Linked DNA regions of Arabidopsis thaliana. The protein of the gene in region 2 interacts with the protein of the main gene of each other region in a pairwise test. Each region holds a gene or a part of one and is shown on either strand. Other genes may lie near its edges.

Region 1 (17,123 bases), on a different chromosome or scaffold from region 2:
CCGCCAAAAACAATATTCAATATTTCCGGCCAAGAAAAGGATTTGACATTTTTCCCATCAAATTTATATGTAATACAGGAAATAAATACAATTTAAAATATATTTATAAGCAAATTATAGATACAACATACATATAATAGTATATTAGCAGTTAAAATAAGGGAGAGTTGCATAATAGAGCACTTTAAAGGAAAGTTTATACGTTTTACACACTTTAGAGGGAAAAGGCACTTTTCTAATTCTTTTAGTGAAATTGAGACCATTTTACCCCTGACTAATAAGAAAAAAGATAATAAGCTTTTGAATTTAGATTCTTGTCGGTTACAAACAAACAAATATGTGACGTACGTGAGTGGTTGGATAAAAAATTTAGTTATTTTCTTTTTCTCAGCGATGGAAGTTCTATTAAGATCTGATCGATCACTTTTTTTTTTAAGGCAAATCTCTTTATCTTTACTTTTTTTTTTCTCTTTCCTTGCTGAGTATGTGTGGTGATATAGAGTTTGTGTGGTGAGAGCAACAATGGAGTTTGTGAAGATTGTGTAGCTTTTGTACTTTACATCACGGAGAAACCTCTCTAGATTTTGATTTTGTGTAGGTTTGTTTCCTCAATTTTACGAACAAAATTATAAATTTTGTTGAATTTTGTAAATATCTGATTCATATGAGCGAAATTGTGTTTCTAAAGACGACGAGATCTGTTGTAGATCTGAACTCCCTCGTCCCTTACTATCTTTTGTTTCAGATTTAGTGCAAAACAACGACAAAAGAGGCGGTGATGACGTGACACAACTCCATAAATCGAAAACCAGTTCTGATTGATTTCATCTTCTTCTTGAATGAAGCTTTTTTGATTTTTTTTTGAATCACTGGTACAGTTCTGATTTACTTATTTTTGGCCAGTTATATATGTTAGTTATACAAAAAATGAATTTTGATTGAATTTTTTATTGGCCAAGTTATATATGTGAGCTTGATCAAATTCAATTTGTTATAGTCATCGAAGCCAACAAAATTCGAAAGTGAAAACATAATAAGAAAGTTTGTTTCCTTTAGTTGCCATTTCAGGCGGTGAGAGAGTTAGCACATCGTGTTTTGGGTTGATGTAGGAAGAACGAAGAGAAATCTCTGGACTTGAAAAATCATGGAATCTTTGCTTTCACAGCCGATGCTTTGCGTTTATACTCTAACGCTTTACAAGTATCCATCCACAAGTGACCATTTCATGTTGAACATATAGTTAGAGTTATATGGATCCTTTACATTTTTCTATTGACTTAATCATATCCAAAATTGTTTATGGATGTTGTTGGACGCACCCGACCATTTATAGTCGTCCATATGGATAAACCAATTTGTAAAATTACATATGAACACAAGTTATATGAAGGGAAACTCAAGTTAACACCAACATATTAAAGCTTGATTAACCGCTACAAAGCTTTTGCAAAAAAAGCTCAGTTAACCTAGACATGAATACTAGATCACTATATGATTACAATAAATAACTAGCTTTACTAACATGAACCAAAATTAGCAAAAGCCCTCCACAACGTTGAATGTCATGAAGCTATGTCCACGTAAATCTGTCCACATAGTCAAAGTTCTATGGTAGAGTTTTCATAGTATGTTATGTCAATGTATTGACCACGTGGATGTCATTGTAATTTTGACCATTTCAATTTAACAAAGCCTTGAAGTCATGCTCTATCACAAGGGAGAAGAAACAAAACAAAGATCAAAACTTAATATCTACATACTAGTTCCAACCATCGGAGCAATTTTAATCTTCGGTATGCGCTAAAAACATCATGTGTTTTTGTAAAGACATCCAATATCTTCGGGATGATATCTACAACAAGTGGGAGACTAAGTTAAATCCAGTATAATGTAAGTTGAAGCAATAAATATCCTAAACTCAATTCAAGAGTCCAATTAATTTCATAGACCTTCTTCGTAACAATCTAGATATCTAATTGAACATAACGAGTAAGAAAGCAAAAAAATCACCTATACCATGCTAAAACACCACATTGAGCAGCCACCTAAGGTATCACAATCAATAAATAATTTCTAACTTAAGTTTCCTGAAAATTCTTAAAAAATCCAGAATTGAAACTGTCAAAAGCATTGTACTGGATTTAACTTTGAGACCCTTGTTAAAAGCAAATAAGAGTGAAATCAATTCGAGATGCTGGATTTAGCGTTGATAGCTTATTGATTTGGTGTCTCCATAAGAAAGAAGAGATGAAATCAATTTGAGCGAGAAGTTTTGTTTAAAACAAATGATTGATTGTGAAATTTCGTTCTTCAAGGGAACAAGGGAAAAGAAAAAAGATGTAGTTTTGTAGTTCTGAAATTGCTATGAATTCAATGGATTGTACGCAGAGAGAAAGAGACAGATTAGAGATGGAGAAAAAAAATAATCGTAACAAGAGGAATTAGGGTAAATGAAAGAGAGATGTGGTTAAGGGACAAATAAGGAATTTCACTTGGAGAAAGTGTCCTTTCTTTTGAAAGTGTCTCAACGCACAAATACTTTCAATAAAGTGCCTTAGAGTATAATATTCTCTTAAAATAAACTCTAAGAAAATGACAGAAACCAAGTTGGGTACCCACGGGTAGTCTCGAAACAATCAAGTTTTTTCGGGCTTTACCCACTAAATTAAAAACCCATCTGGGTTTTCTAAAATTGGGTTTTTGGTGGGCGGGTTTATTTTGGGTTCAGGTCGGGCTGGGCTTTTTTACCACCACAACATCTCAGAATATGGTAATACTTTGTTGAGAGGTCGAGCATCTTAGATTAACTTCTTTTTTTTTCTCTTTTTTTTTTCATTCCTATAGTGATTTGATCGGCTTTTACTTGGATTGTATAATAAACTAAAGGAGACCCATATTTAAACAGAGATCATGCAGCTTGAGGGAGCAATTTTCTTTATAACTTATCGAAGAACTTTGACTTTATAAATTTTTGTTAACATAATATAATATGAGAGGGTTTTTTTCTTCTGAAACTGCTCTATTGTTTAGCCATTTAGGACTACATAGGACTAACCCCCACTTTTTACTAGGGTTTATGTGACTACAAAGCTATTTATATATTTATTCCAATTCCGCTCCCTTTCTATTGTATCCTGATTCATGCCAAAAATGAGGTAATTTCAAACAAAAAGTTAGATTGTAATTGCAATTCTCTTATATTTGTCTTTTGGGTACATCAAGTTATTTCTCCTCTCTAAGAATAAAGCGGTTGACAAATATTTTGTGACGAATTTGGATTTATTTAGTTCCTCATCATTGCTCTTTTAAAATTTATTTGTTAGAAATTTCTCTAATTAAGAGATTGCAAATATCATATGGTTCTTACCTCCAAATAATCAATCCCACGTCAATGGATTATAAGGGTAGCAATCAGAGCTACAACACAAACAGCAGAGAGCCGAATGCCTATAATATGATCTCTTCAAAGTTAAGGTATCCATTATCCATTTATGACATCTTTCTATCTTTTCAACTGGATGAAATTTTCACTCAAGCTGGAGACAGACATATATCTTATGACTGCTTCACTCACGTTGGCTTTCTTCTTGATAGCGATTGTATATCTTAATCAGATTGATGAACATGTGGGGTCATGATGGCTATTTGTTTGCAGGATATGGGCTGATGAATGCCCAACAAGTTATCCCACAGTCGCTTGTTGTGTGCATTGGTGCTTGTGTTTATCTTGTAAAAACTTACCTTCAGGTATCTAGAAACTATAAAGTTATCCACGCTATGCGTGTATTATATGTTCGGTTTTAGTTTTGAATATAAGATGATTTATATTAAGTATATATAATAATTATCTATTATTGTTAATATATCGCTCAAAAATAATTTAAAATATTGAGTTTGATGTTTATAAATTATGATGTGTTTAAAGAAGACACTTTAGTTGATTAAAAATGTTCAATGCACTAATTTGTTTTTTTTTTTTTGAAAACAGTATGTTTTACTATATAAAAAACTTAAAATAGTCAGGAATGTTTTTTTTTTTTAAATGGAAATGCATGTATTACCAATCGTCTTGAAAATTGAATAAATTGATCAATTTTTCACGTTAAAATTTTTAAAGTCTATGATTTAAGATAAGTTTCAATGAAAAATGGGACCACCAACTTATCTAAATACAAAATATGATAAATATACGGAAAACGATAAATTATATCTATAATAATTAAAATAAAACTCGAAAATAATTAAAAATATTAATTTTGATGTTTACAAATTTTGATGTCTTTAAAACAGACACTTTAGTTAATTATGAGTTATCAATGCACTAAGTTTCATTTTCTGTTTTATTTTTTTTTGTGAAAACTCTATGTTTTACTTAATATAAAAACCTTAAATATTACTTTTTTGGGTGAAATGCAAATACATGTATTGCCAATTGTCTTGAAAGTCGAATAATAAATGAACCCTCCCACTTCACCAAAAATTAAGAGCAAGTAAAAAATTTATCACCTTGAATGTTTTTTTTACTGGATTTTTCCCAAAAATTATATTAAAAGAACTAATATGCATCATGTATAATAATACATTTGATACATGATTTTGAATTATACAAATTAATTTCTTTTCATTATGGTAATTTGCTTTCAACAGTTTAAGATTATTGTTAGACTTTTAAACAAAAATATTTTATTAGATATTTTCATGAATCCATTACACATCTACATATACATTTTTGCAACCACTTTGTGAAATAAATCCTCAAGTTGAGACTTATTTACAGTGTCTGTCACTAACATTTAATAATTGTTTTTGATAATTAGAAAGTAAATCTTCGAATTAAATATTTGACATTTAACTATCTTCCCAAAATCTCTCTACATTAACTACACGATTAGTTACTAAAATAAAACTTCCAAAATATTTAACCTCATTTAAAAATTACAAAATTATCATTTTTTATATTGCTTTTTTGCATAACTATAACAATTCGATTATAAGCATCAAACCGTTAAGATATTTGATATCAGTTAATTACTACAAAATTACAAAATATTTAGACAATAATTCATAAACATACCATAAATAAAATCAACATTAATAAAATAAATAAGTATTTTTACGTGACGGGTTGGCGGGACGGATTTGGCAGGACGTTACTTAATAACAATTGTAAATTATAAAATAAAAATATTTTATAGATAGATACAAGTTGCAAATTTTTCTATATATTAACTTTAAAAAAATATATTATCCCCGCGGTATACCGCGGGTTAAAATCTAGTGAGTTACAATATGGGTTAAATGGAAATAAATATTCTTATTTTTTAATATAATAAATGAAATGTCAAGCAATTGTTATTATTAGAACTCCAACCAGATAAGCTAATGAAATAAAATTCCAATTGTTTTGTTTTATTATTTAGCATAAGTATAGTTTTATTTATTTTTAACTTCATATTATGGAAAAAGTAGGGAAAATATATCTCTAAGTTAAATATTAAGCTTTTTGTAAATTGAAACCATAATTTTTTTATATAATTAATTTAAGATTATGTAACAATTGTTATTAGTTAAACTCCAAACAAATCAGCCAATAAAATTAAAAATTCTCAAATTTTATTAGATAACATGTGTCAACATCTCGCTTTTTTTGTTTTTCCTCGGTAAAATCATCATCTCTGCTTTTTCACCACTTACTTCCCTGATCTTATGTATATAAATCCTATCTGCTAGGAACTCACAATATCCTACTTCTTCCACCTTTCGTACGACATAATTTCCATAGATGAACAACTGAAAAATGGCCATCTCATCAAAGAGATTGATAGTTTTAGTTTCTCATACTCTGAGCTCTATAAAGAAGTTCCATTTCTTCTTGCAGTAACTATAAGATGTACATTTTTATCTTGGCAACAAGACTGTACATGTTTCCCCCATATAATTTGTATAGGAATTTTCATTGAAGAAATTATCAAATATCCCAGAAAAACTTACATCTACTTTTCTTCAAGTGAGTGAAAGTATTCCCAGTAACATTGGTTTTGCAGCTGAGCATGCCTACGAGAGAACTCTTGTGCTTAATGCACTGATTTGTTGGAGACTTTGTGATTGAACCAACACATAGGCACTTCACTAGTAAAAACATCTGTCTAGTTCCGTTTGTGAAGTTCGATCTTCTTTGGAGAAAGATGCTCAGGACTTAGTGTCATGTTCTTGACCAGATTCATTGCCTTGGAATCCCCATAACTCTTTAGCTATCGCATCCCCCTCCTCTGAAAAATATAAATCTCATTAGTCTCTAATCAAGTGATATCTATAATCATACACAAACAGTGATATAAACTCGAAACCTGGCTTCAATTTTTCAGGATCTGGTAACTCCTGCTTTTTGAAAGGATTACTACATTCAGCTTTACTCGATGATTTCTGAGAGTGTAATGGTATCTGCGAGTATACATTATGCAATTTTTTATGTAACTCTTCCATCTTTCCTGATATTTCATCAGCTCTGTCCATATCTATGAGAACCTGAAAAGAAACACATCAATCAAGCACCGAGAAGACGCATAAACTGCAGTAGGAACATCAAAGGTTTTGGTTACATTTAATATACCTGGGCAGGATTTTTGTTGAAAATGGGCGCAAACCTCTGCCGACAATACTCACTAAAAAGTAACGTGAGAAGAATTAACGGTATGGTGAAACCCGAAGCAACTGTTGATAGCTTTAATCCGAAAAACCCCAAAGCTATAATCTGTGTCAAGATCAGTGAAAAGATTGTTGTGTTGTGGAAAATAGGCCAGTATTGTCCACCGCTTTCGTACTTCGTAATATACACGTTGAGTATCTGCAAATAGAAACAATTCTGTTGAGCATCTACAAAGGGTTGTCTTTAAAAATATATATCAAGAGTTCTTTTTACTCAATGCATGAGCTTGGCACTACTAATGGCTCTTATCACATTGTACATGACTATAAACATTGCAGAAGCAAAATTCCGAAAAGCACAAATCCAATTTCCATCTAAAACATGCAGGTCACAAAGTAACTAAGCTTTCACAAATTAGGTACAAGTCCATTATGATGCTTTTGGAGAGATTAACTGTGATATTATGTACAAGAGATCAGAGAACACACTTACTTGATTTTTGTATATGAGATATGCAAGGAAAAAGTATATCAGCAAAAACGGCAGTATCAGTGGTGCTATGACTGAATTGGTGAAACCCAGGAGCCCAAACAAAAGCAGCCGAGGAATTTCGGTGTGGTATGGGAACCTAAGTGTTTCATATGACTCATCCTCGTTCTTGGTAACAACTTTTGCTACCAGATTCCAGATAAGAGCCATAGGCTGCATTATTTCACAAGCCAAACTGGCCCAACCAGATGTGAAACAATAGGTCATGAAGAAGCCAGCCTGCATACATGGTTAAAGCCATATTCAAAATCAATGATACAATTTTCATTTTTCCTAATAAATATGAAACACAAGCAACCAGAAAAGCTCAATCCCAAATAATTCCTCCAATGGGCTTTAATATCTCTGATATATAATTTTATCATGGAACGAGGAAAAAGAACAAACTATTAAAGTTCCAGCGCAAGAAAACACTATATCCAATCCGAAAGCTGCAAGATCTTGGCAAAATGTAACCTAGCTAATGTTCAGAGACTGTAGAAACCTGAACATTAGCAAAATTCAAACTTTTGCTCTGAAATGTAAAAGGACTATGGGTAAATTACCTGTGTTGGCACTGCTCTAGCAAGTTGTGCAGGTATGTCTCTGACACTAGAAAAGACATTCAGTTGCCTGATAACAGACCCTGATAATATATTCACGAAGAACACATTCCAAATGGTAAAATATAAGACTTTGATGCAAGCACTCTTCTTCCTTATACTCCGTGAAATACATCCCTCCAAGGCCGAAAAATACATCATCAATGGTGGAACGGCATAGAAAAATAGAATCAAGATCACACTGGGTAAGTACCCTGTGATGACCTGGTTTATAAAGTTCCTGCAAAATGGTTTTGGTGGCCCGATTAACTTGAAAGATGATAAAACAAATCAAGAACATAAATTTTGATTTCTCCAATGGTTTGAAAGCTATAGAGAAGGCTCGTGTGTTCTATACTGCACCGGAGTTCCGCCTACTTTTTAACGCCAATTCTAATATCATGTCCAGAAGAAACAAAACCATATATATATACATGCGTAAGGAACCAGCAGGGCACTCACTTGCTCAAGATGCCTCTTAGAAAAGGAAATGCGTGAGACAGCTGCACTAGTTGAGTCAGCCCTTGAATGAAGGTAACGGGAATAAGAAACACAAACATGAAAGCAACTGCACCAACAAGGGTTGCTATTTTCCGTATCCAAAGTTGTCGATAAGGAATGTTGAGATTCTTCCAGTACACATCATGAGGTTCTGGGGCTAAGTCTGTCACCCATAACATAGGATTTGATGATTGTAGAACCTCCGAAACAACAAGAGCATCATAGCGAGTCTTAAAAAACACAAAAGCAGCTGAACGTTCCTGCAAAACGCAGAAAATTTTGTGGCTTTAGTAAGCTATTCTATATTGTGACTAATTAAAATCAAGCATTGCTACTTCTAATCGCTACCACAAAAGTGAAAAATCTTAGTTAACTATACTGAATTGTCGAATATGGTGCTACAAATCATTAATGATGGTTTAAAACTGTACCGAGTAAACAAAACTATACAAGTCTATGCAGTATCAGACAATCAGACTGCCACTTCCAAAGTTCAATTTGTATCCCATTAAAGTAAAAGAAGTCTTTATCTGTCAGGACCAGGTGAAAAACTGAGAAGAAATGCAGTGGAAACTTCTAAATCAGTTTGTAATGTTAGTTGAAACGATCCTCTCCACTGGACAGAAGAAATAACAGATATCCACATCCTATGCCTAGATCAGGGAAAGACAGAAGAATTCCTTACTTGCTCTGTCGTAGTCGTAGTCATAGTCAACTCACCAAGCTCCATTCCTTTCACACTGTCTGCCTCATTCGATAGGATATGAAAAGAACTTGTGGCTGTAGGTCCTCCACAAAAGGTGCATGGCCTTAAACTCGGTTTACAATTGATTTCAGGAGAAACGTGTTTTAGAGTCTGGCACATCCTCTCCGCATCACGCTGAGACAGAAATTGGAATAATCTAAACGTCACACTTTTTATCTGACATAGAACATTAAATTTCAAATACTTTATCACAAGCACAAACCATCCACATATCATTTACCCAATTTCTACAACATGCTGACAGGTAATAAATGAGAAACTGATGTAGTGATACTGAAATAACCACAGTATCAGAAAGCAGTAGAATGAAAGCCCAGCAGTAGGATACAGACAGAGTTGCTCTAGAAGGTCCTTTCATATTCCCAGAATATGCATCTAAACTGTACCCCTTTTAGCTGATACACGAACTAAATTTCATTATTATATCTACTGTGCTATGTAATATCATCAATCTCTGCATCTAGTCATCAAATAACCCTTTATAACATCCAAGCAGCACATAACAATTCAGAACCATGAAATTTACACCAACTACGAAAGCTATCAACCAAAATGAATACTGCAATAAGAAGTAACACTTAAAGCTGGCAAAATGTTCAAAACTTCAAATCATTTTCACAAAGAGCAATAACAGTTTTTTAAAATAAATCTAGGTGACGGTTTTAATCTGACAAGTAAAGCAAGAGGAAGGTGGCCTGCGTAATAGTTTAGTTAAAAATGACTGTTCCAAGAAATATACGTACCAGCAGTCTCTGAATGATGCCATTATGGTAGACCATTTGGTGGGACACGTAGCTGGACGAGTAGTAGTTTGTGAAGAATTTGCTCAGCGTGTCGCTGTAAGATTGCTCAGGAGACCATGGAATAGCACGGATAAGAACGGTAAATTGACTTGGCTTTGAGGCACATCCAGTAATATGCCCAAGCCTCATTTTAGCTATGGTGCTATACTCCTACAGTATAAAAAAAATGTCAAAAGGTTGGGAAATAAACTAATAAGAAGATACATGGAGGAACCAAGAGTAAGTATTCAAGTATGCTGTATGCATGAGATAAACTAAGGTACGAGGTCCTCACAAAGTAGAGCAGAAGACATGCCGCTGAGGTTATAATGTACAGTGCAAGACAATGAACCCACAGCCTGAGAGCAATAAATGTAATGAGAAAAAATCAGCACTTTACACACTCTGCATAGAGTAACATCTTTCAAAGAGACATAGGTAGAGATAAAAAAAAACATTTACCATTTTGAGCCTTCTTTAAGATTTTCAATTGTAAACACTTCGGATGACTCCAAATGGATTTCCTTATGCACCATCGGTTGCCCATAATAATTAACAGGCAGCACAAAGGCAATGCAAATAACAGCAACTATAAAGAAAATACGAATGCTGCAGAACAAAAAACACAAAGTAAAACAAACACTACAGAACAAAACCAAGAAGCAGAACAAAGAAAAAGCATCTGGGAGAGTTTATTTTCAGTAACCTGAAAATGACCATCCTAAGGAAGACGACAGCATCAAGACCAGCAGCAGCTAATAACTCGTCTTCACTAGTCTCCCATGCTTTCACAAGCCAACTTGGAGACGGCACAAACCTCTCATACCAAAAAGGATCATAACGTCTAGCACCACCACAAACAAGCCTTCGGCCAAAATATACACAGTAATTGGCTGGCTGTTTCCTAAGTATGGAGTAAAGTGATAAAAGAACTATGCATATCGAAATATTAATTCCAGCAGATGTAAGAAGAGCTGATATCTCCATCTTAATCTTAGTTCAACTCCTTCCTGACTAAAAATCGCAGGAAGAGAAGAACTTCATAAGTACGTCGTCTCGTCACAAGATGGCCAACCTAGCAATACAGGAGGTTCTTAGATTGGCAGGAGAAACTGTAAGAAAACATCACAAAAAGAAAAAAGATAAGAACATCGAAATAACAAAAGTCCTGAAATCCAATGCTTAAAAAAACAGATAGGCTAACGAAACACCGCGAAAGAGACTGATAAACAATCGTCGATCAAACGTGTAAGTTGAATCCAAACTATCTTAACACTAACCAAAACTTTCTGCATTTGCATTGCAGATACGAAAAATTGGAAACATGAATCAAATCATAATCAGTACCTAAACTTGCAGAGGAAGATAAGTTGGTTACATACGACCCAAAGATAACAAACAACATAATGCACTGAGATTCAATTTCAAGTTATCAATTTCTGTTTTCCGTTAATCAAAATTACGATTCGCAATTTCAATGGTGCCTAAACAATAAAGTAGAACTACGATAGATGAAAACGCGGAAACGTAGAACAAACAATGAATCAGAGAATCGCATTCCACTAAATCCAGTGAAACAAACACAATTTCGATTCCCAGGGAAATCAATCGAAGCAAAATCATCAAATCCAATTCGTCAGAAAAATTACAGATACAACACGAAGTTGTATAACAGAATAAACCAAATCGAAGAGATTTCAGAAAAAAAAAAAAAAACATGACTTACAGAGAGAAATACCAAAAACTTTGGTTTGACTTCAGAGAATTCGATTGCGAAGAGAACCAGAAGATTCAGAAACCCTAAGAATTCGCAGAGAAGAGAAGAGAAAAAAAAAAAAATGAAACACCGAATTGCTTTTAAAATTCCAATTCCGCGAAGAGTTCGCATTTCCAGTTCATTCAAATCATAACTTAAAATGAAAACATGCAAATAATTAAAATTAAATACAAATGATTAGGCCACGTTGTGTGGCCGGTGAAGAAGGGAGCGACGATTAGGCCACGTGTCGGTTATAAAATGGTTGATGCTCCAAGATTTGATACTATGTGAGAGCGACTACTCTGTGGTCGAATTTATTATGACCGTTGGTTTTGTGATAGAATGGGTAAGATAGCGACACGTGTGGGTGCGTTTTTTTTCACAACGTTCGCTCAAGTGTTAGTTAAAACTGTTATGACTATTGAAAAATTAAAGGAAAGGTGAAGAAGGAATCATGGATTTTGGATTCATGTGTTTCTTGTTGCAAGTGAGATATGCATGAGTATGACATAAAAGTTTTATTCAATATAGTACTACTAGGCCTGGACATTCGGTTAACCATTCGGTTTCGGTTCGGTTGCGCATGGTTTCGGTTATTTCGGTTATAGTAATATAAGAACCATTTTGGATATTTGAGGAATTTTGGTTCGGTTCGATTCGGATATCTTTCGGTTCGGTTCGGTTCGGATATTAAACTTGGTAACCATAAATAAACCAAAACCGAAATAACCGACTAAAAACCGAAACAAAAAAAAAAAATTGACCAATAACCGATATAGAACGTACGTAAAAAAAGATATATTCACAACTCACAAAGATGCAAATATGGTCCATACTCTCCATAATATTAAAATACCTGATTCACAACTCACAAAATTCAACTTGCAAACTAATAAAGAGAAGAACATAGTTAAGTGTCAATACATACAATATATGTGATATATTATCTATCATACATATATGCTTTGGTTATCCTTTGGTTATCGGTTACTAACCTAACCAAAACCGAAACCGAAATCTAAAACATATAATATCCAGCCGGTTATTTTAAGCTATCCAAACCCGAACCGAACCATGTTTTTCGGTTCGGCTCGGTTCGGTTAATCGGTTAGCGGTTCTTTTGCCCAGGCCTAAGTACTGTAGAATAGTTTTTTTTTTTTTTTCTTATGAAAGTAACATATGTATACTATTTTGGGTATTATTATACTAGTATGTTACAAAAGGAATAAAATAGTCTAAAACGTATAAAATTCCACTATTTGATTGTATATTTTTCCGTTGAAAATATTTATCTTTATCCCACCAAATATTATTATAGAAAAAGAATGAATATTTAAAATTTAAGATATGAATACATAGTGAGACATGAATTAAGATGAAAAAAAATTTGAAACAAAAAGATACAATTTTCTTTGATTCCTCAACATCAATAGACTTTGCTCAAATATTTATCGAGTAAATTGTCGACGATAACTTGATAAGCTCTTTCAGATGGATGATAGCTATCCCAAAATATGTATGATGAAGAATTAGAACACGTAAATGGGTTCAATGAGTTACATAAATAGGATATTGTGAGCAGTCCTTTACCGCAACATCCTTTATCGGCTACGTCAAAACCTAAAAGAAATGAGATAATTGGAATAAAATTTAGTTCGACAATAAAAATGAATTATAATATATAGTTTCTATATAGATAAATCTGTTAGATGAACTTACCGTATTTTTTAGGGTGTTGGATCATGTCAAAAAGAGTATCATAAACATTAATGTAAAGGATAACACCATCCAACTCTTTATCTAAAGAATCTAATGCTGGAGAAAGTCTTGCGTTGAATTGTTTTGCCATGTTGTTTAGAGGTTCATTACATCCTCTTGTAAAAAAACCTCCAAAAACTGTTCTTTGTAATGGAACACAACCAACGGGGACTGCACTAAACACTCCAATTTTTCGAGCTCCAAGCTTATGTAATTCCTAATTATCAGTTATAGATAAGATAAAATAGTTAGTGGATATAACAATATATTATTGATTAGTTTATGTATTATTATATATAACTACGAATAAAATACTTACTCTCACGAAATGGACAGCAGAGTCAGCCAAGAAATTGGCATAAGAGGTACGGTCATATCTATGAGCTTGAGCTAAATAAGTGTGAGCAAGGTCATTGCTACTAGACACCACAAGAAAGAAACTATGTTCCAAGATATCTTTGGCTTTTTCTTCTCCGAAATGCCTCTTGATCTTTGATATATATTCTTTGAAATATATGAGTTGATCCCATACCGATATCACTGACTACAAAAATAAACATAAATGTAACAAAAAGGAATCACCCATAAAAACAACTAACAGTCGTGATGGAAAAACATAAGATATATGGTACCATAATTTTTGCTGTCAATGGATCATAACCAGTTCCTCGAGATGCAAATGTTACACCTTTAAGAAGATCCTCAGGCTTCAAATATGAATTCATATATGCTGGTAATGTCTTAGCCAATCCCAACTTTTCCGCTGAAATATTTGATAACATATTTATCAGATTATATATATAAATAGATATGATTTATAATTTTGAAAAATATAAAAGTTAATTCAAATAGTTACCAATAAGATCAGAAGGAACTCTTCCATCAGAAAATCTTCCAGTGGCGTCGCCTCCAGGATAATCTTTACCATATGGAGGAAAGTTACATTTAAGAAGAGTCGGAAGATTATTGTTATTTCCTGTATCCATTATTGAATCTCCAAAAACTATTAGCGCTGGGATCGTTGCGTTTATCCCTTGCTTGACTGCATTCGCTTCAACAGCGATTAAAACCAAAGCAAGCAATAGAATTTGAAGCTTCATCTTCTTCTTTAGTTTGTAACTTTTCTGCTCGAGATTGGCTTGCGTTTTACATTCAAAGACATGTGCACATATATACATGGTTTCGATTTGTTGGACTTCTAAAAATAACTCTTTCAAACAACAGTTGTTAGGTTCTATATATGAAATCTCGAATTAGTTATTACTTTGATATTAGTTGGAACGATAACGAAATTTAACTGTTATTTCTTACCAATGACATGGTAACAAAATGGTCTATCACGTGAATATACTATGTTTGGCATTAACACCAATTTCATAAATATAACCGTAAATTAATGAAGACACAAAGAAAAGTATGAGTAATATGGTAGTGTAATTGAACATGATCTCTCAGAATATGGTAATATAAATTTAAATTTTCTCTTTTGTCAACAACACTCAACGGTAACTTAGGTGCTGCCAACCACACATTACGTTCGATTTCATGATTTGTTGCATTGCCTAACAAAAAGAAAAGTAAAGACATTTACATAAAAAAAAAATTGAAACATTTTATAATGGTTAATAGATTCTTGAAAACTAATTCTCCACAATTTGTCTCAAACAAATTAAATAAAGATTTTAACCATGACTTTGTATTTTTGCTAAATAATATTAACCATGACTTCTCTCACTTGGTTTTGTACCACATATGTCTTCATGGCATTGAGTTTCCCTCTTGTTATCGAAGCCCACAAATACAGAAAATAAATAAGTTTGAAAGCCCTTTGATTCTACCACACCACACACCATCTACGTCCAAAAGCTCTTTTACATAGTTCACTGGATTGTAACTTTCAATCCAAACTCCATCTATTTCACCCGCCATGATCGGGTCTGTCACTTCGAAAGTTCATCCCTGGACATCTGTGCGTTCAATCTTACAACAAAATCCCACAAACGCTTACCCGGTTTCTCCAACTTAAAGCTCAAGGATGCTCGATAGTTTCTCCCGTCTCAGATTTATTTTCTTTCTACAATATGGTATTCTTAGAGATTTCCAGATTCAGTTCCTATTTCTACAAAACTATTTCCTTTTTCTACTGTTTAATCGACAATCTATTTCTTTGTTTTCCTTGATGAATTTAAAACATCATTGCCAATTTAATCAACGAAACCACAAAATCAACAAAACCATAAAAGCAACAAAATGAACTAAATGAGTGTGATATATTACAAATGCAGTAATATATGATACATAAGTCTTGGGGTTAAAATCAAATACCTAAACAATATACAAGGTAACCAAACCAACCCAACACATTTACCAAAGAGTTAATGAAGAAAGATGAGGAACCTAAAAAACCATTTAAAAGAGTCCAAAGAATTTCACTACCCTTGTGAGCCTATTTGCATTTATCATTCTGCAACTGTCATATATATGTACCATTCTGCAATGGTATTCCCATGTTACCTCCATTCATTCTCTGATGGGCTTGACTGTGGACATCAAGCTTCAAATCTACAAACTGATGTATTAGCGCACCAGCTGCATCCCCCGTTACAGGCCATGCTAGAGGATTGTACCCGGAAATGTTCGTACCCGAAAGATCAAACCCGTTCATGTATTGGATATAACCAAGATTGTTGGTGGGAGGAGGAGTAGGATGAGGAGGAGCACAGTAAAAACCGGTGGGTTGCATAATCGGATTGTTCCATGAAACGTTAGCCACTTGTGCTGTGAATTGGTAACCATAAGGATATTGAACGGCTTGGACATTGTGATGATAACCAAAGACAGGAGGAGGAAACTGTAAAACCATCCCATATCCGTTTTGCTCAGGGACATAAGGTGTTGCTTGAAAGCTGCTGTAGGAAGGAGGAATATTAACAGCATTACCGTTATTGCTCTGGATTCCTTCTTTAGGTATTGCCCGTTTCACTTCCACGCGTTTATCACTCAACTCATGGAAATTACTCTGCATAACAACCTCAACAGAGTCCTCCGAATCATAAGTAACAAACCCAAAACCCCTTGGCCTGTTAGTCACACCGTCATGCATCACAACTACATCAGTAGTCCTACCAAACCTCTCAAAGTAACTCTTAAACTCTTCCTCAGTCGTGTTAGACGACAAACCCCCAACAAATATCTTCTTAGTCCTACTGGTCACACCATTACTCGACATCTCACGCAAACCACCATTCATCTGTTGCACTTTTCTCTCCAAAAACTGCATGCTAAACGGCTGTTGGTATAGTTCATGTTTCCTAATCGCCTTTCTCACATCAACCTAATACAAACACACACATAATCAATCCACAGAGTATACACAAAACCCAATTGACACAAGCATAAAAAGGCGGTAACACTTACGGGTTTACCGAGAATGAAGTGAGTGTCTCTAAGAGCTTTAACAACATCACAATCATTAGCAAAGCGAACAAACCCAAAACCTCTAGGTTTTCCAGTGACTTTCTCTTTAGCTACAACAGCTTCCAACACAGCTCCATATCTGCTAAAATACTGCTTCAGAGCTTCTTCACTTGTCTCTTTCGCAATACCACCAACAAATAACTTGTACCGATCATAATCCATATCCTCAAATACCCTAATTTTGCAGGTTTGTCTGAGATTTTTGCCCTAATTTCGGAATAGATAATAAAAAAAATCAGAATTATGACATCGAGAACACTATTAACAGTTGAAAATCAAAAACCCCTAAAATTAAACAAAAACC
Region 2 (15,544 bases):
AAAAAAAAGCTTAACAAACGTTATTTTCCAAGGTACATACATAGCATCTTAAACTTAATATTGCATCTTCGGTACTGCCGTATTTATCAACAAGACAAGAAACCCAAAAAACAAAAGCTACTACAGACATATAAAACTCAGTTAATATCAAGATCACGAGTGTGCTTCTCGAAGACGTCCGCTGCATATTTCCAGTTGATTACAGTCCATATGTTCTTCAAGTACTCCGCTCTTGCATTCTTGTACTGCATTACCCGCACCCATTGATCAATGTTAATATTCAATCAAACAGTTCTTTTACTAATAAAACCGATATTACTCTACCTGATATCAAATCAAGGAGTATTATAATTGAGATTAGAGTACCTGTGGATAGTAGGCATGCTCCCACACGTCAATCCCAATTAGAGGAACTAGGTGTGATCCCTTAGTCACCAATGGATCCTGTATGTTCGACCAATCTATCAAATCTTTTTCTTTTCTTTTTCCCAAATCCTTGTGAGATAGACCATGTTACAAATTAGCTTAATCACTACATTAATCTACCTGGTTGGCTGTGGTTTCAACGACAAGTCTCTTAAGCTCTCTGTCTAATCCAAACCACTATAAAACAAAGAAAATATAAACATTGGTTTTATCTACACAAGGAAATACAAAAGTTCCTGTTTATTAACAAAAATGAAATTATAGATATTTCTAATACTACACTATACACTAACCAAACTTATTGTCCCGTTTAGATTTTCCTTTTTAACACCTTTTTTGAAATTAATGTTTTTCAATTTCATTTCGAACAGAGTCCTATATACATCACATATCCAATTCAAATTGAAATGAATTTTGATATTCTGTCAGAAATTTTTATAAACTTTCATCTGAAAACCAATAATTGTGTTCCCAACATTGTTAATGAGATTCTGAAAAAAAACTTACCACCCATCCAGATCCCTGTACAGCAGCGCCTTCCGCGTTCATTTTTTGGATCAATCCTTCTAGTGATCCGAAATGAGCATCGATCGCCGAAGCCAAAGGATCATGCGGTGGTTTGCCACCTCCTTCCTATATATCAATTTGACCCCTTAGAAGAGACAATTAAACTCATCAGAAATAGACACATGGAGTGACGACAAAAAAACATTTTTGTACATGAACCGGGGCTAGGTTTTTCCAGAAGATTGCATGGTTAACGTGCCCTACAAGCAAAGCAACAGAAAAAAAAAAATCAAAATCCTTACGATCAACAAGCACCTATCGGAAGAATTTAATGAGAACTTAGTCGTTTAAAGCTAGGGTTTGACCTCCGCCGTTGAACTTGATGAGGCTTTGGAGTTTGACGACGGAGGAGTGATCACCGTCAGCCATGGCAGAACGAAGGCTGTTGAGGGCTTTGTTGTACTGAGTGACATAAGTCTGGTGGTGTTTCTGATGGTGTAGCCGCATGATCTCCTCACTGATTGCTGGCTCTAGCGCATCATAAGCATACGGAAGATCAGGAAGCGAAGCAGTCTTCATTGATTCGAGACACGGTTCCATGGTTGCTCCTCTGGCGTCGTGAAGAGTCGTAGCGAAGATGGCAACGAAGATAATGATAATAACGGTGGTCGTCATGATCTTTTTATATATGTAGACACTAGAAAATAGAAATAAAGCGAGAGGTGGATTTATTCAGATAAGTATATAAAAGTATTTTCTTAGCAAACAAAAGTATATAATTTTACTAAGCCACGTAAACTTTGACTGATCTACTTGTCAATCTCTAAGGCTTCATGGCTTTAAGCGTTTTGCATAGTTGCTCGATTTGTGTCGCAACCTTAGGTTGATGCATATTTATGTTGTTTTTGCATGTGCTTTTGTCTTTGTGTAGTTTATGGCAGGAGAAACGTAAAACGCACCTAACATTCCAAACCTCAGTCCAATGATCCAATCCTTATATGCGAAAGATCAACGCACATAAGTATAACAATAGTTTAGTGGTCTGGGCCATACCGAAAAGGCCGAAACTTTCCTCAAAAATAAAAAACGACGGGCCCAATCTATTCTAAAAGACATTGTCCACCGTGGAATCTGACGTGGCGTATCTTATGGTCTAGATTATAAATAACAGAGATAACACGTGTTCACCACAATTTAAATCCAGTACCAGCGTGTGCCCGCCCAAGCCATGCACACAGCTAAACCGCGTCGCCACGTTCTCCATCTCGTACCGGCTTCACGTAATAGCAACCGTTAGATTTACATCGAACGGTCCATATCTGATATCTAATTAGTCTATATCGTCAACACTTTACAGGGAATAATCACCTACTTAAGCCACCTCAGACTTTTGAGGATAACGTGAAGAATAAGATAAACGCGATTTCTACCATCTCTAAATCTCAACCGTCCGATCAAACAACTTACACAACTTCCGTGCTGGAGAAATAAAAAAATTAGGTATTTAATAATTCATCATTGCCATTGGATTGTGTGTGGCTGCGTCAGTAAAACGTATTCTTAAAAGCAACCATTGGTGTGATTGACTCTATAAGAGAATTCGTCAGCGTGAAGCAATCTCCAATCTAATCGCAGCATATCTTCTCCGATTCCTATTCGTCTCTGCAATTGAATCTTCCGGTAGGCGAAGATGGCGACGTCTGCGAGGATTTGTTGCGGAGGAGGAAGTGCATGCGCCGTTCGTTGTGATCGTCGCACGTTAAATTTGAATTCTCGATCGTCATGTGTTGTTCCAGTGACGAATCGACGGAATATGTGTGCGATCGGGAAGATTTCGATGTCGATGGAGGATTTGTCACCACCGTCTGCGGCGGTGAAGATTGAAAGGATCGGTGGAAGGAAACGCGGTGGATCTGTTGTGTCGAGGGAGAAGCTAGATGTGTGGTTGAGAGATTCGGTGGTTGAGATCGTGAAGAATCTTAGAGAGTCGCCGTTATTGATGCATTTATACGCGGAGGCTAATGGTGGTTTGACGACGACGGCAACGAATCCAAAGGCGGAGGATTGGACAGAGATGGAAGGAAAGTGGGGTAGAGGAGAAGAGAGGACGCCGGAAGGAGTTATATTGGTGGAGAAGCTCGCAGACGGTGACATAGCAGATGATGATGATCACGATGGTGGCGCGTGTGGGGAAGATACAAGCGCGTGGGGGATTGTGGCGCAAGGAAGAGGATCGGATACTGGGCCGGTTTGTTATCTATTGAAAACGACCCGGGTCCGGTCGGGTATGGGTACGGTTTGCACCCATTTCTGTTTGGTTAAGGTCAAGAGTTTTAGGGAAACGGCTATGTCACAGTTGAATAATTCGTGGTTGGTGCAGACTGGTCAATGAGCAGTGATTGTCAAAGGATTTGCACTGTAAATTATTTATACTCTTTGGGTTTTGATTATGAAACCCTTATGGATGATCAAATTACATTTGTTATTAATACAGAACATTTTTTAGGAATTTGGATTGGTGATATAAATGTAAATAAAATGGTCAAAGTTGGTTGGTTATAGTGATTTGTTTAATCAAAGAACATTGTTAGTTTTGTTGCTATTGTAGTATAGAGGATTTGAATCAAGACAAGTAGACAACTTAATCCGTGTAAGATCTATATGCAATTATGCATTCATTAACACCACAATAAGCAAAAGTGTAGGTGGATTTAAAACTTCTGTTAGTGATCATAGTGCAAAGCCTATAGCTGATACTGCCAGAAGTTGCATTAGAGTTCATAACCTCCGTCGGAAAATTCCGGAGTCGATCTCCGGAGATGGAAAAGAGAGAAAATGAATAAAACATGGTCGTGATGGAAAATTATGGATTGTTTGATTGGATCATTTATATGGATTTGGATATTGGATTTAGATTTTAAGGCCCGTAAATATATGGAAGGTATAGGCCTTTGTTCCTATGGGCTATGAATGATCCAATGTTTATTTTCTTCTTTTTTATGAATTCTCTGAAAGAATCCAATAAATTGAAATGACATACAATAAGCTAATCTAAAGGGGCCAAGGAGTTTCATTGTTTATGACTTTGACAAGCGATACACATTTAGCAGCACAAGACATTTCACGATCGGACTTACGGAAGTGAATGATTACACTTAATCAACCACCTCTAAATTATTGGCATCACCATCTAAGACTCTTAAGTTATGGCTTAATTATGATCACCATTATATATATTTTTTTTTTAACATTTCACAATCTTATTTTTTTATTTTTTTGGTTTATACAAGGTTCCTTTTTGGGATTTTTTTGGAAATAATCCAATAAATGAAAATGACATATATACTGTATAAGCTAACCTAGAGGAATTAACTCATATATTAATAAGCTGTATATATTAATGACATGAAAAAATGTGTATAGAAAGATGAATTATTTTTTTCTCCAACCTAGTTATAAACCGAAGAATTGATCGGTAATATAATAATAAGCTGTATATGGAAAAAGAAAAAAATTATAAATGGAAAATGTCCCTTAAGTAACTTATTTTTTCAGGTTCCATTTCAAATGGAAAAAAAAAGTGTTAGCATATTTGGCTTAGAAAGTCAAAACGTTAGATGCCATCTCACTTTAATGCTATCATGTACAATATTGAAATGGATTTTTAACTTATGAGTTAAAATGTCAAAATGTTGCAAATTACCGAGGCTAGACAACGTAGATTGTAGTACTAATTTCGTCTTTCCCAACTCCAAGAGAGAAAAACGTGGTCTGTTTCAGACAAGGCATGCTCCATTCCTCTTTTATCGGCCATTGAAACTAGGGTTCTTCTGTTAAAAATGTACTTATATTATCCCTCAAAAAGATACTAATGAATAATGTATTTTAATTACAGATTCTTGAGACGTTTCTTCGATTCCCATAATCCAATAAAAGATCAGACCCATTAAATTGTTGAGTTTTCACAGAGTCCCATGCACATGGTTACAACAAATGAAGCTTCTTAAGTTATTTTATACTCTCTTTGTTCAGAGAGCATCATCACACGAAGTCACTAAGTTTTATCTTGATTCTTGTTTTTCTCAACCCTAAGTTTTTATTTGTCTCACAAGAAAGCTCTTATCTTCTACGACTGCTAAAAGATGGTTCAGAACCTGAAATGAAGACTACAGGCTTTCTTTCATAATAATACTTAAGATTTCATCGAAAGAGTCCCATATTATGGAACCCGGTGAAGACAAATCCGATACAGCCCTAAAAATGTTACAAGAACAATAAATAGAAGAAGCTACAAACATTGAAATTGAAACTAACAGACACAAAAGATAACACATAAGAGATTATCAAAAAACAAACACAAACAAGGATTTCTCTTAAAACCCCCAAATGAACAAACCGGATTCCTCTTCGCCGGAACTTGGTGAAAAAACATGTTAGTCTTTAACCTTCTTTTCAACTTGAACCCAACTCATCTGAGCTCCCTGAAGGGCATCTGATCATCCTCAATATGTTAACAGCTTCTCCCATATGTGGTCTACTTGATGGAACCTGAGAAGTGCAAATAAGCCCTAGCTTTATCACTGCAACCGCTTCTTCTACCGGAAACTTCCCTTGCAGCCTTGGGTCAATACATTCATCTGCTCTTCCATCTTCAAGAGCTTCTCTCACCATATCACACAAAACCACAACATCATCTTCCATATACTCCACAGGCTTTTTACCTGTAACCACTTCAAGGACCAAGACTCCAAATCCATAAACATCACATTTCTCTGTTATTTTCACCGTTCTACAAGCAAACTCTGGAGCCATGTATCCCAACGCACTCTGTATCTTGCTACTCAGCACGTACCTATCTAGCATAGGTAACAGCCTCGCTAATCCGTAGTCTCCTACTTTAGGCTCACCAGAGCTGTCTAGCAACACGTTGCTCGATTTGATGTTGTAGTGGATGATGTTTGATTGGTGCAAGTAAGCTAAGCATTTCGCTGTACCAAGGATAATGTTGAACCGATCATTCCAAGAAAGCGAACTATTACCTCCTGGTGCTTCGTGCAACTGTTTGTATAAACTCCCACCAGAGAGAAACTCATAGATCAGAAGCTGGAGAGAAGTTGTCCAGTAATATCCTTCGAGTTTAACCAGATTCGAATGCCTGAGTTTTCCAAGTTTCTTCACCTCTCTTTCGAATTCGTCCTGAGACTTGACAAGACTCGAGACAGTGAGCTTCTTGATAGCTACAGGATACCCATCTCTGATAACTGTTCTGTACACCGCTCCAAATCCACCTCGACCAAGCTCACAGTCTTTGTTAAGCAGAGCATGTGTTCCAGTGCTGAAATCAGGTTCACCAGAGAACATCACCAGCTTCCCTGAGTTGCTATCAGTAGTGGGAGATCGACTGAAGTCATCTCCGCCTGAGAACGTGAGCGGTACTGCTGATCTTGAAACCGTTGATGCGCGCACTCTCAGATTAAGTACCGTGATGGCTATTACACCAACCACAATGGCTGCAGCAGCACTAATGGCTATCAAAGAAGATATACTAAGCAGTATCCTTTTGTGACCAGCACCTGGAGGCACTATTTCACCATTGTAAGGATCGAAAGTTGCATTAGGATTCAACACAATCGGTTTAGGGGAGATGGCAGGACAAGACTTATTGACAACAGCACCGCAAATTCCCGGGTTTCCTGATACTGAACTTGGGGATAAACCGTTGAAGATTCCACCTGCAGGTAGTTCCCCAAAGAGATGGTTATGAGATATGTTGAATGTGTGAAGATAGCCGAGATTAGCCAACTGTTTAGGAAGTGTTCCGGCCAGTTCATTAAATGATAAGTCGACTTCTTCGAGTCTTGTAAGTTTAGCGAGCTCTGGTGGAATTGAGCCTAGCAGCTTGTTATGTGACAGGATCCTGTAGAAAGAAGCATGAAACAGAACACAGTTAAGACATAATCTTCAATGGGAAAATCTTAACAGAATGCAACCTAAAGCAAAAGAGACTTACAAAGACCGAAGGGAACTGCAATTCTTGATGGAAGATGGAATATTTCCCTCCAACAAGTTATTTTCAAGTCTCAACTCCTCCAAAGAAACAGCTCCACCTGTTTCTCGAGGAATCATTCCATTGAGCTGATTGTGACTCACATCAAGGACGCTCAAGTGCTTTAGTTCCCCAATGGTACTGGGGATGGGGCCGGTAAGAGAGTTTCTGGACAGATGCAATCCCTCCAGGTCTCTAAGATCTCCTAGACCAGCTCCAATCTCGCCAGAGAATGCATTGTGGGAGAGATCCAAAACCTGGATCTTCTTGATACCTCCAGTAGAGTTATCATTCTTTAATGCAGACACATCACGAGAACCATCTTGAAATAGCCACATGGGAAGCTTTCCAGTTAGTGAATTCCCACTTAAATCTAAGGCCAAGAGGTTGATACAGTTGGCTGTTGAGACCGGCAAGCTACCAATAAGCCCATTCCCAGAAAAGTTGAGAACTTTCAGTGCTAGAAGGTTGCCTATGGAGTCTGGAACCTGCCCTGAAAACTTATTCATGGAAAGATCCAAAGTCTCAAGACTCCTCATTTCTCCTATCCACTTTGGAACTTCACCTTCTAACGCATTCTTTCCCAAGTTCAGAGAATAACACAAACTGAGCTGCTGAAATGTATTTGGTAAGCTTCCTGATAGAGAGTTTTCACTAAGATCAATAGTCTTCAGCAGCATACAGCTCCCAATTTCGCTAGGAATAGGACCAGATAACCGGTTTCTACTCAAATCAAGCGCACGCAAGTTGTTCAATCTATCTATCTTCTCTGGAAACTCTCCCTCTAACTCATTCCTCGACAAATCAAGTGATCTTAGAGTGTTCAAAGACCAAATCCCCAAAGGCATAGAACCAGAAAAACCATTGGAAGACAAGTTTAAAGCAGCAAGAGACGAGCACGAGCTTATACTAACCGGAATCTTCCCCGTTAGTTTGTTCTTCGCCAGAGATAAAACTCTTAATGACCCACATTGCCTGAAAAACTCATCAGGAAGCGAACCAGACAAGCCATTGCTACTCAAGTCAACAACCTTAAGGTTAACAAGGCTCAGCAGCATATTAGGGTTAATGATTCCCGTGAGATTGTTGTTGGACAGAGAGAGCTTATGAAGAAACTGAAGCTGAAGTAGGCCACGACCAATTCGACCAGACAGAGAGAAGCCATCTAGATTTAACTCAGTGACTCGATTCGTCCTCGGATGGCATTTGACTCCGTTCCAACTACAAGGAGTGTAGTCATCTTCGTTCCAAGAAGCTAGCTTTTGCTCTGGATCTCGTAAATCGGCTTTGAAGACAATGAGCCCTAAAACGTCGTCGTTTAAAGGCGGGTCTAGAGATCTCACCGGAGCTACTGCCGACACCAACAAGACTGTAAAAATCAGTGCTTTGTACATCTTTCCACAACCCTCTTCTCCGTTGAACAGATTTTAGTTGCGGAAGACCTCCATTTTCAGTTATGTAGAGCTGAAATTAGAAAGAAGAAAATTGGTGAACACAAGAGAAAAAAAAAAACAGTACATCTCAAAACAAAAACTTTGTTTGTTCGTATTCTTAGGCGTTAGATTTAGTAGAAGAAAAGAACAAAAATCTATCTCAACGGCTACATTTCGGCCAACGGAGGAAGCAAAACAAAGCAAAAAACAATGAAGAAAAATCCGGTAAAACAAAGGCTAGTTATATGAATAGAAGTAGCTACAGTTTACTTGAAATTCATAGAAATTGAAGAAATATTCAACCTTCAAGTGAATGGCTGAAGTAAATGTTGAGCAAAATAACTTGAGTTTTTTTAAGTAAAGGAGTCATTGGACAGTTACGATCTGGAAATGAGGAATTCTCACCTAGTAAGAATTTTCTCCGGGAAGATTTCCGACGAAGAATGTTGCAGCTCAGGGGGAAAAAAAACACCGTAGGAAAAGAAAGTGAGAGAGCACGAGCTTCTTCTTCTTCTTCAACTTTGTTAGGTTTTGTAGCTTTAAAAGAAGAGTGAATTTGGGAAGAAGAGAAAAAAGCCAATAAAGAAAAAAAAAGAGAGCAGAGAGAGTAATTAAAAGCTGCCTTTATCAACGGGCTGGAAAGAAGAGAGTGTGGGGCCCGAGGAAGGTGGGTGGACTCATTAAAACTCTTTAATTGACACGTGTATTTATTTTGTTGGGTTTGACGAATCCGACTTGGCTGACACGTGGCTTTTATTTTTATTTTGTGTTGGTATAGTAAGTGGGAAAATGAATAAATGATTGGCCAACTCATAAAGAAAGAAACTATAAATTTGAATATGACTAAATTATCCTTCCCAAATAATAGAAACTTTCTTTAATGGGTTTACATGCTGCTCTGTGGCCTCTTGGTATGATTCAACTAATTAGAAAATAATCTTTCACATAAAATGGAAATAATGTGGAATGTGGTTGGTTCTGTTATTCTCATGCAGAGAATTGGTATTTTGGGTAAAAAATTATGCAGAAAGAGACAGTGGTTAAAGTGGTCACCATAGTTTTGGTTTTTCATTTTTTTATTTTGATTCTCTATTTTGTTTTTTGAAGTAAGAACATTAAAGTAAGTTGGTGAGGAATGATGATGGTGTCCTGGAAAAAATATTTTGTGGTGCTTAGAGATCATTAATAATTGCAACCATAATGTTATTGTTCATTTATGTACAATGTCCTGGTCAGTAGTCAATGCATCAAACTTATTAATTATGGGTTTACAAATTTTCTTGAAAAATTATGGGGTTTTGAAATTGGATCACAAACCTAAGGATTTTGGTTGACTTGGAGGAGCTACAGATGTAAATTTTGGATCTTCTGTTTGTGCAAGGAATCATACATTATGTAAACTTTTCCTACAGATTGAAATGCGGTTGAATAACTAAGTGTCAAACACTTATTGCCATAAAATAAAACATTAAAAAAAACAGATAATAGAACAAATGATGTTGAAAAAAATATTATAATCCGTTAAGCATGCTCTTGGAATTTTTTTAATTGTTGTCTTTCTCGTTTGAGATTTGGTCCGAGTCAAGACATTTTATCAGACTTCGGTCTCTCTCCCATACCTATGTTTTAAAATTTTATATTCCTTTTGACAGTAAAAGTTATTTATTATGAAATAAACAATGAAAAATAACTCTTTTCCCCATGGAAGGAAAACAACCCTTCATGGAAATTTTGGAATTTACTATTTGTTTCTATTTGCAATTTAACAAAGAGGCCTTTTTTACTTTTTAATGTATTCTAAAAATATAGGGTCAAATTTACTACTGTTTTTAAGAGCTTTCGAGGAATTTTTTGGGCAGTGTGAGCCGGACCGTAGCGAATTCACATTTACTGTTCTTCGCTTTCCATCTATATGAAGAATTTACCCTTTGTTTGTTTTCTACAGTTAGTATTTATTTCCACATTCAATTTTTACTCGAATCTTCCTCTGTCATATCAGGATTGGCATTTAGGACCAGCCATTAAAAGGTAAAATATTTACTTTCCGGTGATGTAAAATTCCAAATTTTCTTATATTTATTTAATTATTGATTACTTACAGTTTCATTTTTTATTCCATGGTAAATAACTACGGATAAGATGGGTCCAACTCTTCCATTAGAGGCCCATTAATGAGAAACGATAAATGGGCTCAGATAATAATAAGGCTTATCAAAGTTCTACAGTCCGAATTATATTTCAGGAAAGAAAACAAATTGAACTAAAGAAATGCGACTCGCAGCTACTTATAACGCGTTACAAGGCTGGCCCATGCAACTATGCAGCTATCATATCGGTCAAAGATTTCGTATTAAAATTTGAGGTTTTCACGATAATTAAAATTGACAAATAATAATATACACATCGAACAAGCCCATAGTTTAAAAATTCAAATACTAAAAATGATAATATATCTTAAATTTTAGAGAATCATGGGGACTTCGTAACTGAGATTCTGATACAGATTTGTGATCCATTTTGAAAATTAAATATGATTATAAATTTGCATCTTCATTATACGCACGATTAGAAAAGCCAAACAAATGGGAAATTAAAAATTAATATTTGGATTTTCGTTATCATCGTACAAGATCACAAAGCACTGTCACTGACATAAAACACCAAGTTTCTTACCAGTTTCCAGAGAATCAAATACCAAGAACAAAACCACAACTTGTTGTATCTTAAATTATAAGGAAGATAAAATCATATCAAATCATTTCTTGATATATTGTTATCCTATATATCCATATATAAATTAACAACATAATTATATATATATATATATATATATATACACATCCATTCTCAAATCTTTTTAATGTATCATTTCTCTGTTTTTCTCTCCTTCTTCTGTAAGTTTGTCTCTGTTTTCTTTAGGTTTGAGAATTAAAAGCAGTATAATGTATTAGTGTCTGACTCATTTATTCTCCTCCTTCTTGTGCAGATTTTTGTTCTTTGTTGCTTGACTCACAAGGAACAAAAACGATATCTCTCTGTAATCGTAGGAGATGAATAAGGGCTGTGGAAGTGGAAGTGATTCTTGTTTATCGTCAATGGAGGAGGAGCTTCATGTTTTAGCAGTAGATGATAATCTAATTGACCGTAAACTTGTTGAGAGAATCCTCAAGATCTCTTCTTGCAAAGGTAAACTATCATTCAAATTTTTTTCCTTCTAAATTTCAAGAACCAAGATTTCTTCTATATGGTAACATTGCCTCTGAAATGAAGAAATTGATTTTACTTTCTGTACAGTGACAACTGCAGAAAACGGGCTTAGAGCTTTAGAATATTTAGGCTTGGGAGATCCACAACAGACTGATTCATTGACTAATGTAAGCTCAATCTTCCCCATGAAACATTCTGATTGGTTTGGAGAGGAGACATTTGTATAACATCCAATATGACCTTTTGAGACTGTTTTTTCAGGTAATGAAGGTGAATCTCATCATCACTGATTATTGTATGCCAGGAATGACAGGTTTTGAGCTGCTTAAGAAAGTGAAGGTGTGTAAGAAATTTCTCACAAATGAAAAGTCCTCTTGACAAGATCAATATAGAGTTATATAGACTAACAAAATCTCTTTCTTTGTCTCTGTTTCTATGGTGTTTTTATTATTGGCAGCAGGAATCATCGAATCTAAAGGAAGTACCTGTTGTGATATTGTCTTCAGAGAACATTCCTACCCGCATCAACAAGTAAACTTATCATTCCTCAGACACATTGCTTAATTGTTCTGTTCTCTTGTTTTGTTTTCCTCAATGGTGAATTAAGATTCTGTAATCTCTTGATGATATTACAGATGTTTAGCGAGTGGAGCACAGATGTTTATGCAGAAGCCACTGAAACTATCTGATGTAGAGAAACTGAAATGCCATCTTTTAAATTGCAGAAGCTGAAGGTAGATCTGCTTAGACTCAAATGCTCATAGAATTTTTTTTTTTTTTTTTTTTTTGTTTGTGTTCTCTAATATAAGAGAAAATTAAAGATGTATTCCTAAACAATGACAAAGATTGTCTTGATCTTTAAAGATTTGTGGAGAAGAGATAAAAGCCCAATAAGGATCTCTCTGAGTAGATTAGTTTTATGAATTAGAAATGTTCTTTTTGGTCAGATTGCAAGAAATCTAGAATTCATTATTGGCAGTTTAGCTTTGTGGGTCCTGTTTAATCGTTTTTGGGCCCATTATATTTGATCAGACAATTATTTCAACATTTAATTCCCAAGTCTTCGCATGGACTTCCAAGATCGCCTTTAACGTTGAAAAGCTACAAATATTGAAAACAAGACTATGATGACGAAATCAAGGTGCATCTGCTTCTTCTTCTATCGTGTTTATCAAAACACTTACCCTCCAAAAAAAGTTAAATCAATTGTCGGACGATAGAAAACATAAACATGATCTAACGCTTTAAAACATGTTCTCACTTTTGTTAACCAAAAAAAAAAAACAAGCCTAGTCCTTATCTTCTTCTTGTCACATCGATTAAGTATTAAGAAATCAATTACTAAAGTGTTTGTTATGGGGATGGAGCAATTGCAAAGTTTAGTTTAATTAATCCATGTTTTGCCAATATGTCAACGCAAATAAAAGAATTGAGACGAAAGTCATTATATGATTGGAGATTGTATTACGTATACGTCGCATTCTGAAATATTTCACAATCTTTGTTTTTTCAAATTCGAATCAACATAGGATCCAATCTTTCTTTACATGTCCCTCTTGCTCTATAATATATTTTTATGTGTGTATATAGATGCATACACAAACAGGTGAAGCAAAAAACAAAATTTGTAAGGTAAAAAATAAGTGTTACATATGTTTTGTGTGAATACTTAAAAGAAGGCATAATCGAACCACAATAGAATTGATATAATCAAACGATGGAGGAGATATTAATGTCAATGATATTCAACGGAATCAATCTGGTCAAGGAGCTTGAGTTCAGTTTATCATCACAAGAGTCACCAGAATCAGATTTGTCGAGTTCTCTAAGCTCGATATCCACTCTATTCGGAGACGTCAACGAGCGGCTGAAAACCCTACTAGCGTGGAGGAACTCTCTGTCACAGTACCAGCCTGAACCGGAACCGGTTTTAATGTTGGATATGACGAATTGACGATGCAGATTGAACCGAGTCTGATGCAGGACCACTGGTTAATGTATCCAGTTATGCAGACAGTGGAGGGTAATGAAACCTCGAGACCAAGGCATCGAAGAAGGTAAATACAAACATTCAGTGCCGGTCTAACATATTTGGATACCCTAAACAAAGCTTAAAAACAGCCTTTTTGTACATTATGAAAAATCATAAATAATAATAAACTATACATTAAACCTCTAAAAATACACTTTAACAACAACTTTTTTTCAAAAATACACTTTAACAAAAAAAAATCCAAAAATTGTTGAAAAGTTCAATTTTTAAAAAACATTTCACATTAAACCAAAATTTACTATTAGAAATACTAATTAGTTTGTAAGAACCCAAAGCAATTCTTAAAAGACCCTACAGAAAATATTTATGGTAAAAAGACTTAGAAAATTTTAGTGTAAAAGGCCCTTAAATATTGAGGCATGAATTTATTGCTTCAAAATATAATGATCATCATATATCAAAGAGTTTCAAGAAACTAGTTAGAAACAACGAGTTGTTTTTGTTTTTTACCCAACAAGTCCTTAAAATAATTTTTTACTTGATTTTTGTTGTAGATAGGTTCAGAATGTGAGGAGCTTGGGGTTTTTCTTTTGTTGTGTTGCAACCAATGAATCAAAACCAAAAGAGACTGTTCTGTGTCACTTGTATCATGTCTCGTGTCTCATCTGCATTTTGTCCCTTTGTCCAAGGTTTTGTGTTTTTATGACCAGTACACGACACTTATCCCTAATTATATTGGGACTCCTTTTAGTGCATTGTTCCTTTTATAATATTTTTCAAACCCTATAATACAAAGAAATTAAAGATTAGAAAAGGACCAATTCGTCGACTTGTACTTTGTACACATATATAGTCGCTACTTGAGATGTTTAAGCCCTTGCGTAAAAGGAAGTGAACAGTTTCTATCTGCATTTTCTCCTATCTCCTCACTCTCTTTAGCAATATATGTATATATACTTGTTGAGGAAAAACACATCGTAGGAACAAAACACATCGTAAACCCTACTTGGTGTATATACATGTAATTATGCGTATATGTATCATAGGGATTAAGTATAAAATAAAATAAAAATTCATAGCGATCAAGTATTTGTTATTGATGCAGTAGAGGGGGGATGTCGACAAAGAAATAATAATAGAGGGAAATGTTGCTACTAAAATAGTAGTGGCTAAAATCACTATAGTCAGTAGACGTCGTCACGTCGACTTACCTCTGCGCAATACGACATCGTATTTCCAAGAAAAGGATTGTGAGTTGGAAAAATCAAAGTGTTGAGAATCAATCTAAAGGGAGGGATGTTTTAATCCAGCAAGAGTTTTATTTATAGTACTATATGTACAGTACATACACTCATTAGAGAAAAGGGCAAAATATGTATTATATGTTTTCCACTCTACATGGCCTAATTAATGATTAAAACTCATGGTCTTAGTCCTATAGTAGTGGTAAACTCAAGATAGATTCGAACATGAACTGAAGATAGAGAAGTGCTCATTTTCGCTAAACTCGAAATCGCCGCCACCTCCAAACACCATGAGATCCTGAGAACCCAAAACATCGATAGATGTACTCGTTTTCCCATTGACGTAACTGGCCTGATGATGATAATCTTCTTCGAAAACCATTTCTGGCCACACCAATGACAAGTCATTCTCCGTGGACGAACCATGATGACGATGAGGATTGTCTTCTTCCTTCATTGAGGTAGATAAACTAGGACTCTTGTGATCTTCGGAATCCATGAAGATCTCATCATGATGGTCACAAGTCTTGCTCTTGGGAGTTTCTGCGTTGGTGTTACACGTGTGGTTTCCTATGTATGTGATACTGAACATCTTGGGTTCGAGCTCAACCTTCTGGACTTGCTTTGTTGCCTTGCACCCTTGGGTATACTTGTGTGTGCATCTAAAGTAACTTCTGCACAACATAAA

Evidence for each region.
Region 1: the proteins of AT3G56370 (region 2) and RXW8 interact in a protein complementation assay, tested with the Arabidopsis thaliana proteins (one large-scale study listed by BioGRID).

Annotation. Positions count from the first base shown.
Region 1 is NC_003070.9:21,727,232-21,744,354, reverse strand, and holds RXW8 (GDSL-like lipase/acylhydrolase superfamily protein), read right to left. Parts: upstream 11,790-17,123; 5' UTR 11,552-11,789; intron 10,938-11,551; exon of another isoform or gene 10,901-10,937; 5' UTR 10,813-10,900; coding exon 10,532-10,812; exon of another isoform or gene 10,435-10,531; coding exon 10,288-10,434; intron 10,185-10,287; coding exon 10,121-10,184; intron 9,997-10,120; coding exon 9,787-9,996; intron 9,158-9,786; coding exon 8,963-9,157; intron 8,538-8,962; coding exon 8,239-8,537; intron 8,018-8,238; coding exon 7,741-8,017; intron 7,415-7,740; coding exon 7,139-7,414; intron 6,845-7,138; coding exon 6,611-6,844; intron 6,526-6,610; coding exon 6,348-6,525; intron 6,270-6,347; coding exon 6,190-6,269; 3' UTR 5,605-6,189; downstream 1-5,604. Other genes in the region: AT1G58525 (GDSL-like lipase/acylhydrolase superfamily protein), read right to left, coding at 13,011-13,183, 13,304-13,559, 13,662-13,886, 13,975-14,105, 14,199-14,442; RBP1 (RNA-binding protein 1), read right to left, coding at 15,816-16,676, 16,760-16,981. UniProt on the Arabidopsis thaliana protein: Acts as an osmosensitive calcium-permeable cation channel.
Region 2 is NC_003074.8:20,894,018-20,909,561, forward strand, and holds AT3G56370 (Leucine-rich repeat protein kinase family protein), read right to left. Parts: upstream 9,064-15,544; 5' UTR 8,818-9,063; intron 8,444-8,817; 5' UTR 8,374-8,443; coding exon 6,944-8,373; intron 6,851-6,943; coding exon 5,386-6,850; 3' UTR 5,082-5,385; downstream 1-5,081. Other genes in the region: AT3G56350 (Iron/manganese superoxide dismutase family protein), read right to left, coding at 138-245, 367-444, 547-603, 934-1,059, 1,147-1,193, 1,299-1,608; AT3G56360 (uncharacterized protein), read left to right, coding at 2,624-3,325; RR17 (response regulator 17), read left to right, coding at 11,463-11,598, 11,707-11,786, 11,881-11,958, 12,077-12,150, 12,255-12,351; AT3G56390 (WRKY transcription factor-like protein), read left to right, coding at 13,337-13,573; WRKY70 (WRKY DNA-binding protein 70), read right to left, coding at 15,065-15,530.